3 linked regions of the Yarrowia lipolytica genome follow. The protein of the gene in region 1 purifies or fractionates together with the protein of each later gene. This does not show direct contact. Links are inferred from orthologs where the notes say so. Each region holds a gene or a part of one and is shown in the gene's direction. Other genes may lie near its edges.

The links. The genes of interacting proteins can lie anywhere in the genome.
Region 2: the proteins of YALI1_C22816g (region 1) and YALI1_B11916g purify together in Saccharomyces cerevisiae (affinity purification with mass spectrometry; 3 studies listed by BioGRID). This does not show direct contact. The link is inferred for Yarrowia lipolytica from reciprocal best matches to the Saccharomyces cerevisiae genes PFD1 and PAC10.
Region 3: the proteins of YALI1_C22816g (region 1) and YALI1_A02083g purify together in Saccharomyces cerevisiae (affinity purification with mass spectrometry; 3 studies listed by BioGRID). This does not show direct contact. The link is inferred for Yarrowia lipolytica from reciprocal best matches to the Saccharomyces cerevisiae genes PFD1 and GIM3.

Annotation. Positions count from the first base shown.
Region 1 is NC_090772.1:2,279,314-2,283,405, forward strand, and holds YALI1_C22816g (uncharacterized protein), read left to right. Parts: upstream 1-2,379; coding exon 2,380-2,388; intron 2,389-2,531; coding exon 2,532-2,864; downstream 2,865-4,092. Other genes in the region: YALI1_C22835g (uncharacterized protein), read right to left, coding at 3,395-4,092. UniProt on the Saccharomyces cerevisiae protein: Binds specifically to cytosolic chaperonin (c-CPN) and transfers target proteins to it. Binds to nascent polypeptide chain and promotes folding in an environment in which there are many competing pathways for nonnative proteins.
Region 2 is NC_090771.1:1,189,602-1,193,822, reverse strand, and holds YALI1_B11916g (uncharacterized protein), read left to right. Parts: upstream 1-2,208; coding exon 2,209-2,775; downstream 2,776-4,221. Other genes in the region: YALI1_B11934g (60S ribosomal protein eL18), read right to left, coding at 271-382. UniProt on the Saccharomyces cerevisiae protein: Binds specifically to cytosolic chaperonin (c-CPN) and transfers target proteins to it. Binds to nascent polypeptide chain and promotes folding in an environment in which there are many competing pathways for nonnative proteins.
Region 3 is NC_090770.1:206,503-211,314, reverse strand, and holds YALI1_A02083g (uncharacterized protein), read left to right. Parts: upstream 1-2,392; coding exon 2,393-2,401; intron 2,402-2,982; coding exon 2,983-3,366; downstream 3,367-4,812. Other genes in the region: YALI1_A02113g (uncharacterized protein), read left to right, coding at 1-306; YALI1_A02096g (uncharacterized protein), read right to left, coding at 406-1,686; YALI1_A02075g (uncharacterized protein), read left to right, coding at 3,790-4,812. UniProt on the Saccharomyces cerevisiae protein: Binds specifically to cytosolic chaperonin (c-CPN) and transfers target proteins to it. Binds to nascent polypeptide chain and promotes folding in an environment in which there are many competing pathways for nonnative proteins.

The DNA of each region.
Region 1 (4,092 bases):
CGTGTATCACCGACATGATATCTTCAGTCGACCAACCTACAAGTATGTACAGGACACTTGATTTTTATAGAAGTATATTCCCGAATATATTCAAATCGTTTGATACATTCCAGGTTTAGTTTATATACAATTCAAATCAAGAGCTGAACGATTGCACTCGTCCCTTGTTTTACAACCTCACAAAGTAATTGTAGTATGTGCTAAGCTGCAGCTCTTCTCAATAATTATTGCCTACAATTATCATTAGTTTTCTTTATACCATAGGTCGTAGCTTTCGCTCCACCTGAACCATTCTAACACAGTATCGACCTGAGATATTGGATAGCTCACAAGTTTTTGAGCTCTGTTTCTAGAGACCTCAGTATATCTGAACCCCTTACAGATGTCTCCACATATTCGCCAGTATACATTTGCTTACAGAGATGTTAAAAATTCCTGACTTTCGATACTGAATTAGTAGCCATAATGTGTGATCTATTGGAACGATTAATATCATCGATACAGTACCAATGATATCAGCATTCTTTCAATGAACTTCTTATGCTTCTATCGTGATAATCCGGCGAGTAATAGTCCTATGGAATGTTTACCACACAGAGAGACACATGAGCTCCACTGAGTCAGGATAGTTGTAGGACTCATGGTATCATATTCTAAATAATGACAACTTTTTAAATATTCTATTGTTGAGTATATCTCTTGCTTCTCCGTTTGGTCAATTACTTTTCAGTACAATTGGATAGTCACAACTGGCACAACAACTTTCCATCGGTCCAAACAACATCCATAATACCAAACTACAAAATGATTTTATATCAATATACAAGATTTTGGTGCTAATAAATTCTTTTCTTTGAGCAAGGGTCAGTGCTGTTCAGGTTGCTGTGGCCAAATCAAGAAATTCACAGTTTCGAAAGTACACTCGGCACCATCGGTGTGAAAAACTTCTCAGCAGTATTATGGAGCATCTCATGATGATTTATTGGTCTCTGGTTATTGGTATAATTAATGTTTTGTATTTTTGTCAATTGATTCATTTCTTTATCATTAACTACGCGTATTTCACATTTAAATGAAATTTATTCAGTTTTTCCTCTCTCTTTCGTGGTGACTTTTTCGGCAGACTACAATGGAGTCATACTTGCTGAATATAATACCAGAAGATATGAGGAGCATATGGAGATGTTTATTACAAGTGTAGCTTTTTATTGATTATTGTCTTCAGCTTCTATCCAATTTATTGATGACTTTTCAACGGCATCTCATACCCTGAAAACCCCTGGATCTGTGGAGGCTTCAAAAGCGCAATAGGGGATCATAGCAGTAAGTGAGTACTGTCCAGAAGGAGTATAACATGTCCAAATATGTTTTTGGAACAAGTCTTGTTTTTGTAGGTAACTCATCAGTTTTTGTTTTTGTTTTTTTTGTGTTTTTTTGTGTTTTTTTGTGTTTTTTTGTGTTTTTTTCCAGTATTATCTCCATATATCGGATGTCGCATCACGTATGGACAAGACAGGTCGCAATAAAATCCAAATAGGACAAATTACTGTTCATTATAAGACGACTATCATTTATCGTGAGAGAATATTGTGTTCATCTGGAATTTATTCTGAACATGAAGCCGTTTTATGATGTAGTAGTTGTTGTTAATACAGTTGCTCAACACGCCCAGGTCGACTTTTCACGAACTCCATCTTTTTCTCCCTCCACATCCATATCAAAACTACCATACCGTTTGTCGACATCAACCAACCCTTACCATCAACAAATTCCATCGTCAAAACACTCAGGGTATCAGTAGTTGAGCAGACTAGGTCTGGCTCGAGTCGGAGCTTCGGAAAGAGATCCATTCTTGTGATTCTCCTAATACTGAGACAGTAACTTACTAGTTCAAGTACGTACTATACTTGTAGACTCTCGTACTCTCGTACTCTCGTACTCTCGTATCGTAAAGTCACAGACTGGTTGGTTGTATTTGCAAACGCTTCTTCACCTGCTGTGAATCTTGGAACATCTTTCTTGAGCTCAAGTGTTTCCAATACAGTCCAGTTCCACGGGAGTAAGACATGTGCAGTTCATTGCAACTCCTTTACTTTTGTAACACTGAATGGTTCATCAATTCTTTTCAGATACTCGTCGTAGTCCACCGAGATTTACTTTCTTCGAATTGAGTCTAAATACCCTATAAATTGGTACCAAAATGACCGCCTTGTACTGCTGCTTACGAATCTGCAGGCTTAATGCCCACACAACGTACTTTACACTGGTATCTGTCCAATTTTTTCACCACCGCCAAATAAGCTCGGCAACCTTTCTCCCAATTGCCATCGGTCTGCATACAGCCTGTCCAGATCACACTGATTGTTACACCCGACAGAAATGAGCGAAGTGAGTATGAGCGGATGGAGGGAGCGGGAAAAAAAAGGCGTGGGAATGTCACGTGCCATAGGTGAGAGCCGCTTTTGAGTCACGTGCCCTGGGGTGGGGAGGGGGGTGGATCATGTACTTGTTCGGGCCACCACTAACACCAGTTCCAACTCGTGTCGACCGAGCTATCTTCCAAGTCTGCCGAGCAGCAGTCCGTCAAGGCCCAGATCGAGTCTGCCAACCGACAATTGCGACTCATTGACCTTTCGCGCCAGCAGCTGGAGACTGAGAAGTCCGACGTGGTGTGGCAAGGCGTCGGCAAGATGTTTGTCAAGAAGGACAAGACCAGCTACCTGGAGGAGCTGACCAAGGACAAGAAGAAGGGCGAGGAGGCTCTCGACACTCTCAAAAAGAAGCTGACCTACGTGGATGTTTCTGTGGAGAACGCCCGAAAGCGTCTAGAGCAGCTACTCAAGGCTGCTGGTCAGGAACAATGAACGGAACAGACCTGAGCCAGGAAAGACTTTGAGGGTGAGGCGAAAGAGGTGGATGAGTCATCTGGTTGGTTTTCATTGGTTCTTGTACCAATCAATGGGATTCACTGTTAGTTGCCATGCTGGTACTGAATTACGTCTGATTTGTGGCCATGAATGATCCTACAACAGCCCGTACCACGGCTCGACCTTGAAGGCCATAATGAATCAGGTTGAATAGAAATGAATGATGATGTTATGATTGCAACAGGTTTGGGTGGAATCGTAGCGAGGGATGAGTCGCACCCTGGTTAGGGAGTAGTGTTCCAAGCCACGCGGCGGTTAGATTGTAACTAAATCGAGTACACCGTCTAGGTCTAACACTCCTTCACTCGCAATACATTAATCTATACACCCCTATTTCAATGAGAACAATCGTGGATTGCCCTCGTCGTGGCAATCAAAAGATCGATACGTAAGACCCATTCTTAGCAGATTGGGTGGTACCACGGGACTGGCCCTTTGTGTGACGGGTCACTAGTGGCTGCGTTCGCTTAAACGGCCGAGTAACCAGTTCGACTGCTGCCGGTAAAAGTACCCACCACCTTGGCAATCAGATCTCGGATCAGGTAGGGGACATCTCTTAGGGAATCGGCATGGGGAAGAAGGTCGACACCAGCGTTGCCGTATCGATCATAGTTGATCCAGGCGTTGCCAATGATGTATACCGCCACTCCCAGTACAATGATGATGAAGAGCCAGGTGAACCATCCCCACGATGGGTTTCCGTTGCTGGCGTCGTCCCCATCATTGGGGGTCTTTCCGGGCTCCTTGACGGGCTGCTTGGGCTTGGATCCGTCGTTGATGCAAGCTGCGGGAGTCTTCCAGTTGATTTCGTAGTAGTTGTTGAGACCCAATCCCACGTTCTCGAGCTTGGGGCCCTCCTCCTTATCCGAACAGATGTAGTTGACGTCGATATCCAGTTTCTCACTACCCCAGGGGTTTCCGTACGATGTAGAAAGGCCCTCTGTTCCCTCCGGGCCTGTTTTCAAAGGCTGGTACTGAGGAGCAGGACCGTTGCCGAACGGCATCACCTCAGACAGAACGAAATCCTTCTCCTTGGGCAGCAAGATGTAGCCCAACCCGCACACAATGGTGTTATCCGGACACTGCTCGTCCGCAGGTTTCTTCTTATCCTGTTTGAGAGACGCGCACGGATCGAGCACAAACTCCATCTTGCGCTTCGACGGAG
Region 2 (4,221 bases), on another chromosome or scaffold:
AGGCCGAATGTCAAAATTCGACTGTGATGCCGTATCAATAGAATCCCAAAACAAGATGGGTCTTGATTCTGGCACCACTCTACGTGGCATGTCGAGGGAGTTCGGGCAACGCAACTGTGCCATACACAAGTACCATACTTGTAATAGTACGGTAGATGCCACCGCACAGCACATGCATAGACCCACTCTCAACCTCTCCGTAGTGCTCACGCTCCGCACATTTCTGTGCTTGGACAATGTCATTAATAACACGTCCTCACTCGCACTCACGGGCCAGGAATCGGTACAGCTTGACCAGGAGGGTCAGGTAGACGTTCTCGGACTTGGGAGCAGTTCGGTTAGAATGCTTCTGGTGCTTCTTGGTGAAAGAGTCTTTTCCCATGGTGAATGATTTGTCGAAGATGAAGAGACTGCAGAGAGAAATTAAGATACTTGGGAGGAGTCCCAACTGAAAATTTGAAAGAGCAGTCACGTCACGTGAATTACAAATTGGGACAAACCTTAACCAGATTGGCGAAATTGGGACCCTCCTCCAACATGTTGTGAAAGTCATGTGAGAATGGGCGTAGAGGGGATGTTGTGGGTTATTTGAGGGTCTAGGAATATCGCAGAGAAATTGGTTATATCACTCTGGGTCTCGATATGCCATAATATCGTTTACTGTCATTGTTCCTTTTTACCCTAAAAAAAATGACAAAATTAATAATCAAAACCTTATTTGAGTTTGTTAATCACCGTCGGTTCGATTCGAAGTGGTGCATCTATTTGCTGCACTCACTTTGGCTAAACTGACGGCTATTCGGAAATCCCAATTTGGCAAGGTGTTTATTTTTAGGGTTTAGACTAACATAAAAAAAAATTGGGCAAGCTCCAAAGTCATCTCGAAGAGGTAGCAAGGGGTAAAAGACGGATTAGGAAAAGCAATGGGGTTTTTGGTGGTTTTGTGTTATATGATTTTGTGATTTGAGGATTTATTTTCTCCGTTTCGGATTTGGTTGTCAGGTCAAGTAATTTGTTGGGGTGGCTGGAATGATTCTGATTAACAAAAAGATTGAGATCGTTAGGATATTGGTTGAGGTGTAGTTGGAATGGAGACATGTCTACAAGTGGCTGAAGAGACACGGTGGAGAGAAGTGAAAGAAGATAATTGCGGTTAAAACCCTCTGCTGAGTTCATCCAGGGATTTCTCTTCCTCTTTCCGAGCCCAATTTCGGATTCTATCTTGGAGTTTTCACTTTGAAGTGACAACTACACACACCACTTCTATCACCACGGGTAATCACCCGATCAGAGATTTTGAATAATAACCATTCCATCCGTCACGTGGCAACTAACAAATGTCTCCTTACAATCTATTTTGCTGGAGGACTCCATCTAACTTGAATGTATACTTTAGTCAGCAAATGATGTTTACTCCATGAAGTCCTCGTGGTTCTTTATCAAAAAAACAACCAATGTTGATCCGATAGTAAATGAACTCACCAACAATTTGTTAACTGAGCAATCTCAACGGGTTTCTGGCAAAGTCCTTCTTTGGTGTCTTCTTTGGTGTCTTCTTTGGTGTCTTTTCAACACTCAGCGCGTCTGCACTGAGGAACGAGCGGATCCAAATATCGCAATATTGGGGGAGTGCATGGATATTAATCACAGATTTTTTTATAGGTTGCAATTATATGAGTAAATTAACTGTTTCTGATTCAGTTATCTTCTCAGTTGGACAGGTTTTGACGGTTTGATTTATTGTACTGGTGCAGAACAGAAGAGATTGAAATTCTCACATTACTTGATTGGATTTTTTTCAGGTCAATGAAAAACAGTTTTCTTTTCTGGTTTTCTTTGATCTTTTGGTATTTTCCAGTCACCATAGAACGCTTGAGGATGTGGGTAATGTCGTCGTAACGTCTAACTAAGTATCTTAACTAAGTTCAAGTAAAGGTATACACACTTAGTACATGAGTTAGGGCGGTGCTTTGTTGTCCTCTATGGTTGTTTTCGCAAGAAAAATGTTGTGGAACATGTATCTTTCCATCAGTAAATTTGCAGCTATTCCAATGGTGTAATAATCATAGCCCATTTTCATACAAAATTGTGACTTGTGGAACTACTCTTCAAACTGACTGCACCAACTCCCTAAACTTCCGCCTGCAGATCACCACATCACAGATCGCACACTACAGATCACTCCAGTTACACAATCACTCACACACAATGTCTGCGTCCTCTGAACCTGACACAAACCCCCGCGGCATTCCCCGGGCCCCCTTCGTCGACAATGTGGCCGAGTTTGTGAGCAAGTCGGGCGTCAAGGAATCGCTCGACAAATTCCAGGAAATGCTGCAAAAGTACAAGTATATGGAAATGACGACTTTACAGCGGCAGGCCGGGCTCAAGGAGAAGATTCCGGACATCCAAAAGTCGCTGGAGATGGTGGAGTTTCTGCAGCTCAAGGGTTCGGCCGGCGAAGACGTGGTGACCAACTACGAGCTCAACGACACGCTGTACACAGAAGCCAAGATCGAGGCGAGCGGCATTCAGTCTGTCTATCTGTGGCTGGGCGCCAACGTGATGCTGGAGTACGATGTTGCCGAGGCCAAGCAGCTGCTGAGTGAGCGGTTGGAGGGTGCCAAGAGAGGCTACGACACCGCCGAGGAAGATGTGCTGTTTCTGAGAGAAAACATCACCACCGTTGAGGTGAACATTGCCCGTGTGCACAACTGGGACGTAAACCGACGTAAGAAGGAGCGTGAGGAGGCGGAGCGAGCGGAAAACAAGTAGGTGATGGTATGAAATGAATGTCAATCTTGAGAATGGGTGGAATTTTTTTGGGGGGTGAACAAAATCGGAAGATATCAGCGGAATGTCTGGGCTGGGGCGAATATCACTGCGGCATCCGTTTTTGTTTTGGACAAGAAATCATCGACTTGTGTTGTAGGTACACTTGTCTCTGACTTCCACGTTTGTATAACCTGATAGGGTGCTACTTGTATGTACTCAAGAGTAGATATCTCCAAAGATTGTACGTGTATCATCAAAGCTGGTTTGAAACCGCAATTGGGATCTCTGTTTGATTCTGAGCCGATGGATCTACTTGTTTTCCAATTGTAACTTGTCATGACAGTTCCTGTAGATTGTCTATAGCTCCGCGTACAGCTAAAGAAGTGAAGGCCTGAGAACTCTTCTGGATCAATTGAGATCAATCGTTAATGATAGCAATTCTTGTGTCTTTCATAGGTCGATTATTACTTGTCTTGAAGCTTCTGTACATCTCAGGAACATGTAGTCTTCTCTTCCATGTATACATGCCCGAACTCCTCAGCAAAATCGAAGAGAACAACGTATCACCTGCTCTTCAGAAAGATGTGGGCGCACCGTAAAAACGATACCATCCACCTTGTCTGTCTGCTGGATATAATGTGGAGAAAACCCCCGACCTTTGTGAGGAAAAAAAGGAGAGTTGGAGAAACTGCTAGTTTTGCCTGTTCTAAACTAACCCCCAACTAGTTCCCAACTAACACTTGATCTATAGCCTACAACATACCACATCAGATCGTCCCCAGAAAGGCTCCAATTGCTCCAAAAATTGGGAACCGGTTATTTTGTTCTCCTTCTGAATACTTGGTTCATTTCTCAGCTCAATCAGCCTCTGGTAACCTGTTGTCGTGATAAGCCAAACACAGGAACAAAATCTACCAAATTTAACTCTCAATAGTTGACATATTACTCGACATTCTAAGGGGTGAGGCCTAGATCTTGCACACAAGTACGAGTGCAATTGCGAGTAGGCCAGCTTCCTATTACTCTACTCGGTGGTCAGCTGTAATGAGCTCATCCATATCTGCCCAACTACATCTGATTAGTAATCTCAAACGCTCAGGAGACCTTCTAGAATTAAGAAGCAAACGTTAGCGATAATAAAAAGAGATATTAATTTCGACAAGCGATAATAAAGGGTCTTTCCATAAGAGGCAAATCTGTTTCAGTCTTTGTTCTGAAAGTGGGCCTCTGTTTCACATCTGTACAGGCAGCACATGGGAGATACTGCCACCAGCATGAAGAAGAAGCGACGAGAGACGGGGACAAAAGAACATGTTGCCACCATTTCTTGATTACAGCACAAAAAGCTCATCATAAGACTGCCGTCTTCTACATCTAAAGTATAAATATAATGCTTATGGATCATGATGCTCTTAGGCCACGCTAGAGAACCACGCTTATAGACGC
Region 3 (4,812 bases), on another chromosome or scaffold:
GAGCTTCATAAAACTTCAAGAATACGTCAAACCATCCATCGGAGCTTTCATTGGACCCTCGAATGCGAAATTGAATCTTTCAACGTTTTCAAGTGTGCACTCGCCATAGAGCTTGCTGATTTTGTTTTCAAAAACTGCTCTGCAGTGCATGGCTTCTTGTTTCCAAAGCTGTATTCGGCGGGCATGATGATATGTGTCGGCCATGTCGGGCATGTCGTTCATGTCGGCCATGTCGTTGAGCTGTGTTTGCCATCACGCTACTGGAACGTTATAGCCATTTCTGAGCTCATACTTCCCCAGTGGTGATGAAATCTGATCAGCTGATGAATAAACAAAACTTGAGACGCTCGAAAGATCCTCGAGGCTCGCCGGGCTGCCTCGCACTCCCCATATCGTGCTGTACACTCACTTGGGCATTGTATTCAAAACACCTCGTTGTAAAGCAGGAAAAGAATATCCACCCTCGTAAACCAGGATGGGGTTTCTCTTTCTCGCCTGATCTCGCGCCTTGTTCAGCTCCTCCTTGCTCTTGAACAGCTCTCGATGACTGTCCCAGTCGATAAACTGGACCGTGGCCTTTGGGAGGTCGGAAACAACAAAGAACCGGTTATCCCAGAGACTCACACGACCGGGAGTTAGCTGGACCACGTGATCGGAAGGTCGTCGAGGCACCTCGCGCGACAGCTGCCATTTGTCGTTTCTGAGGGAGAAGTCGACTCCGGCAAGGTTGAACTTGTTGCCTGCTTCAAACCGTCCAGTCAAGCCTCGCAGTCTGTGCAGCCTTAGAGACAGATCTGGCAACGGAGATAGCGGAGAAAGAATGTTTCTCAATACTAGTTGAAGCGTATCATGTGGCAGTTTGGTCAGAACCCCTTTCACTTGTTCCTCAGAGAGAGTAATAGTTCCATCTGGCGATTGAGAAGCAGCTAGCAATCTGGAAGATACCTCGGAAGCCTCCGTTTCGCACTTTATCCGATACCCATTGAGCTTCTCCAGCAGTCTCAATACATTGGATGCCTGGAACTCCTCCGGAATCAGTTCCGGGTACTCGTAATACATCTTTCTCACCAGGTTTCGTTCTGCAATCTCCACGTTTTGGTTGGTAGGGTCTTCGAACCAGGGGATGTTGTTCTTAACAAGCACATTTCGTAAATGGGACTTTGTTAGACCCAGTAACGGTCTCATTAGCTTCCATCCAGACGCCAATTCCGTCCTTGAATGCTGTTTCAGCGCAATACCACCTCCTCCCCAGGTATAAGGATTAAACGAGACTCGTGGCTGGATTCCTGCAAGTCCAAATAATCCACTTCCTCTAAGCATACGTACCACGAATGTCTCTATACAATCGTCTTGGGTATGTGCCGTGACGACTGTAGAAACTCCGTCATCATTCATGGCCGCAATGAGTTTCGAATAACGCGCCTGTCGCATTGAAAGTTCTTTTGTGTCGTTCAAAGCGTCCAATTTGAGAATCCGATGGTTTATACCTAGTCTAGAGACGATTTCGTGAACGTTTTGGGCCTCCGAAGACGATTCACTCCGTACCCCGTGATCCACGGTGTATGCTGTGGTTTTCTCGCTCAAACCGGGTGTTTGTGATATCATGTAGGCCAGTGCCATTGAGTCGGACCCTCCGCTGACCGCCAGAGCGAGTCTGGGAAGTTTTGTGAGGGTGTTCAAAGGCATGACTGGGGATGTTGGGTATTGCGCAAAAGTGGGTATCTTAGGCCGGTCTTTCGACTTGGAACGATATTTTCGACTAATTTGGTCTGATTTTTTTGCAATTTCCAATCTTTAGAAGAAATATGTTGGAAATATGACGGAATATGACGGAAATATGATGTTGTTCTGATGTGTACGGTGAAACTTGAAATTATGGGGAACTCTAAAATAATGAAAAATCACGATTTTTTTTTTTTCAGTGGTGATTTAAAGTTGAGATGAAAATAACGACCAAAACAGAGAACATTCTGGAAGACTTGAAATGGCGCTGAAGAGCTGGAAACAGAGAAGTCAGCTCAAATCTGCCTGCAAATTTTCATGATTGGTTTTTCTGGACAAAATCGACTGTTTTTAAGCCAAATAACACTACAAGTACGTACTGGAGAAATCCAATCTGGACTTGATACATAAACATCATTTAGGAAGTCTAAGAAGGGGGGATATAACGTCACGTGATCAAATCATGCGATCCACCAGATCCGATTGACGAGGTCGAGGAAGATGGTATAACTCGTCCGATTCGCGATTTGCGGTTATTTCCTTGAAATACCACCTGACCGGGTTCGAACTGGCGACCCATCCTCCTCGTAGAGTTCACTTACATAAGCAAGATGATGCACGCCTGAACACACAATCCAGGAGTGCACTGACCAACACACAACTACACACAATGCGAATGGTGAGTAATGGGCTGGACAGGAGGTTTTAGAGACGCATTTGCGGACAGAATTTGTTGTTACAATGCAGATGCGGTTCAGAATGGACCATCGCCAGTTGCTGGGGCGGTGTGGCAATCAGTGACACATCCGTGATTGGTCTTTGATCTGATCTTGAGAGGAGGGCAATTATGAGTGAAGGTCTGGTTGGTTGTTTAAAATTGAATCTCCGTGGTATGAGACTAGGTGGTATACAAATTCAAGCATACCAACAGCCAACCAGGGATACGACCTCACCGAGTACCGTAGAGCTGAGAGATGTGGTTGAGATCGATTGATCATCCTGTAATGAAGTCAGATGTGCCCATAATTGCAACTGGGACCGCAGAAAGGAACAGATCGAGATGGAGGCCACAAATTGATGTATTAGCCGGGGTACATCTGCTTGCCGTGTCCATGTTGATCGCTGACTTACCAGAAACCAGAAATCCATCTGCGTTCGACCCGTTTGGCTGTATGCCTGAACCACTGGTAATCGTGCGCAGTTAAGGGCTCGTTTACACTTATCTGAGTCTGCTGGCGAATCCATCCAGTACTAACCCAGCTCGACGAAGGAACCGAGGTCAAGGACGTGGAAGTTCTGAGGGAGGACCAGGACCGAATTAACCGCTTCTCTTCTCTCAACACCCAGATGGACCATCTTGAGGACGATGAGAAGGAGTCGTCGACCAGCAAAGAGTACCTGGACGATCTGATCATGGAGATGGAGCTGATGGACGAGGACGAGACCGTCAAGTTCAAGATTGGCGACGCCTTTGTGGACATTCCCCAGAGTGAAGCCATGGTGCGACTAGAGAAGCAGCAGGAGGAAGTGGACGCCAAGCTCGACAAGACCCAGAGCAGGATGGCCGAGATTCGAGACGAGATGGAGGAGCTCAAGAAGCATTTGTATGCCAAGTTTGGCAACTCCATTTCTCTTGAGAGATAGGCTCCAGGGGATAGTTGGATGATGTATTTGATAGATGGTTGATTGTGGGTTGTGTAGATTGTGGAATTACATGAGGCTGAAAAGGCTGGATACGGCTGGATTCGGCTGGATGTGGCTGTCATCGACGTGGTGGAGGAGGATTGAAATAATCATGTTATTAATAGGATAAGTAGATTAATGTAGTCATTTTTTTCTTCTTTTTTTTCTTCTAATTTTTCTAATTTTTTTAATTTTTAATTTTCTAGTTTTTCTATTTTTTAATTTTCTATTTTTTCTATTTTTTTTTTTTCAATTTTACCCCACATGAGCCTCAGTCAAATCATGCACATGCCGCATCGGAAATGCAGAATACAGCCGAACTGAACCTCATGTTGGGCCCCACGAGCTTTTGACACCGATTATCAACTTCCGAAACATGCTGAAATGGCACAAATACGGCTGAAATCGACTCCAATGTCTCCAAAATCCCGACACGCGCCAAAACTCACGACCCAAGAGCTTTTTATGGCAGCGGAAAGAAGACGAGTTTTGTGGATCAAGTCTGATGACCAAGGAGCAGGAGCAGGAAAAGTGGTGAAGAGGAGCAGCAGGAGGGAAAAACGGTTGGACTTGGAGAAACTGTCAAAGACCGGGCTCATTGAGACTCACGTGGAAGAATTGGGTGCATTTGATCGAGGGTCCGAGAATGTGACTGGAGAACCACCGCTAGGCACCATGAGGACCAAGCAGCAGGAGAAAGATACATCTATCATTGCCGAGCACAAAGTGTCCAAATTCGCCTTAGGCCACACAACTGATACCTCTGTCGGGGAAGGTGCTGATCCAAGTACTGATACTATTGGTGGTACGGCCAAGGTCAAAATAGAGGAGGATACCAATCTCGATACAATAACCACAGCTGAGATCAACAGAGAGTCCGCATTATTGACTTCAAAGGTCGCTGCTAAGAGATTGGTAGCCGTGGATTACAACCACGTTCCCTTTTTTCCAGAGGAAGGAGCTCTCGCCAAGACGTTTCTAAAGGAAGATGGTCACAGCAGGCAGTTCTTCATTGTGACTCCTTGGTCAGAAGCCTCCGTCAGAATCCACACCAATCTCAGATCCCTTATTGCTTCAGCTGGAGGAGTAGTTGTCGATGAGCCCAATAAAGACACATTCAACATCACCTATGACCAAAATACTGTGATTCCCGAGTCCTACAGCTGCTTCAACAATTGGTACACTCCGGATCTCGTGTTCAGATGCACAGATTGCATGTCTTTCGACGAGGATATCGTTTCTTCCGAGATTATTGGAGCTCCTAATTTCGATTCCAAGCAGAAGAAAGAGACAGGGGCCGTGTGCACTGACTTGCCGACTTTGGAGTGGGATTCTGACGACCTGTGTGAGCCACGACATCTCTTGCCTCTCCTGGGGACCAGCGACAGGAGAGTGAAGCGGTTGCAA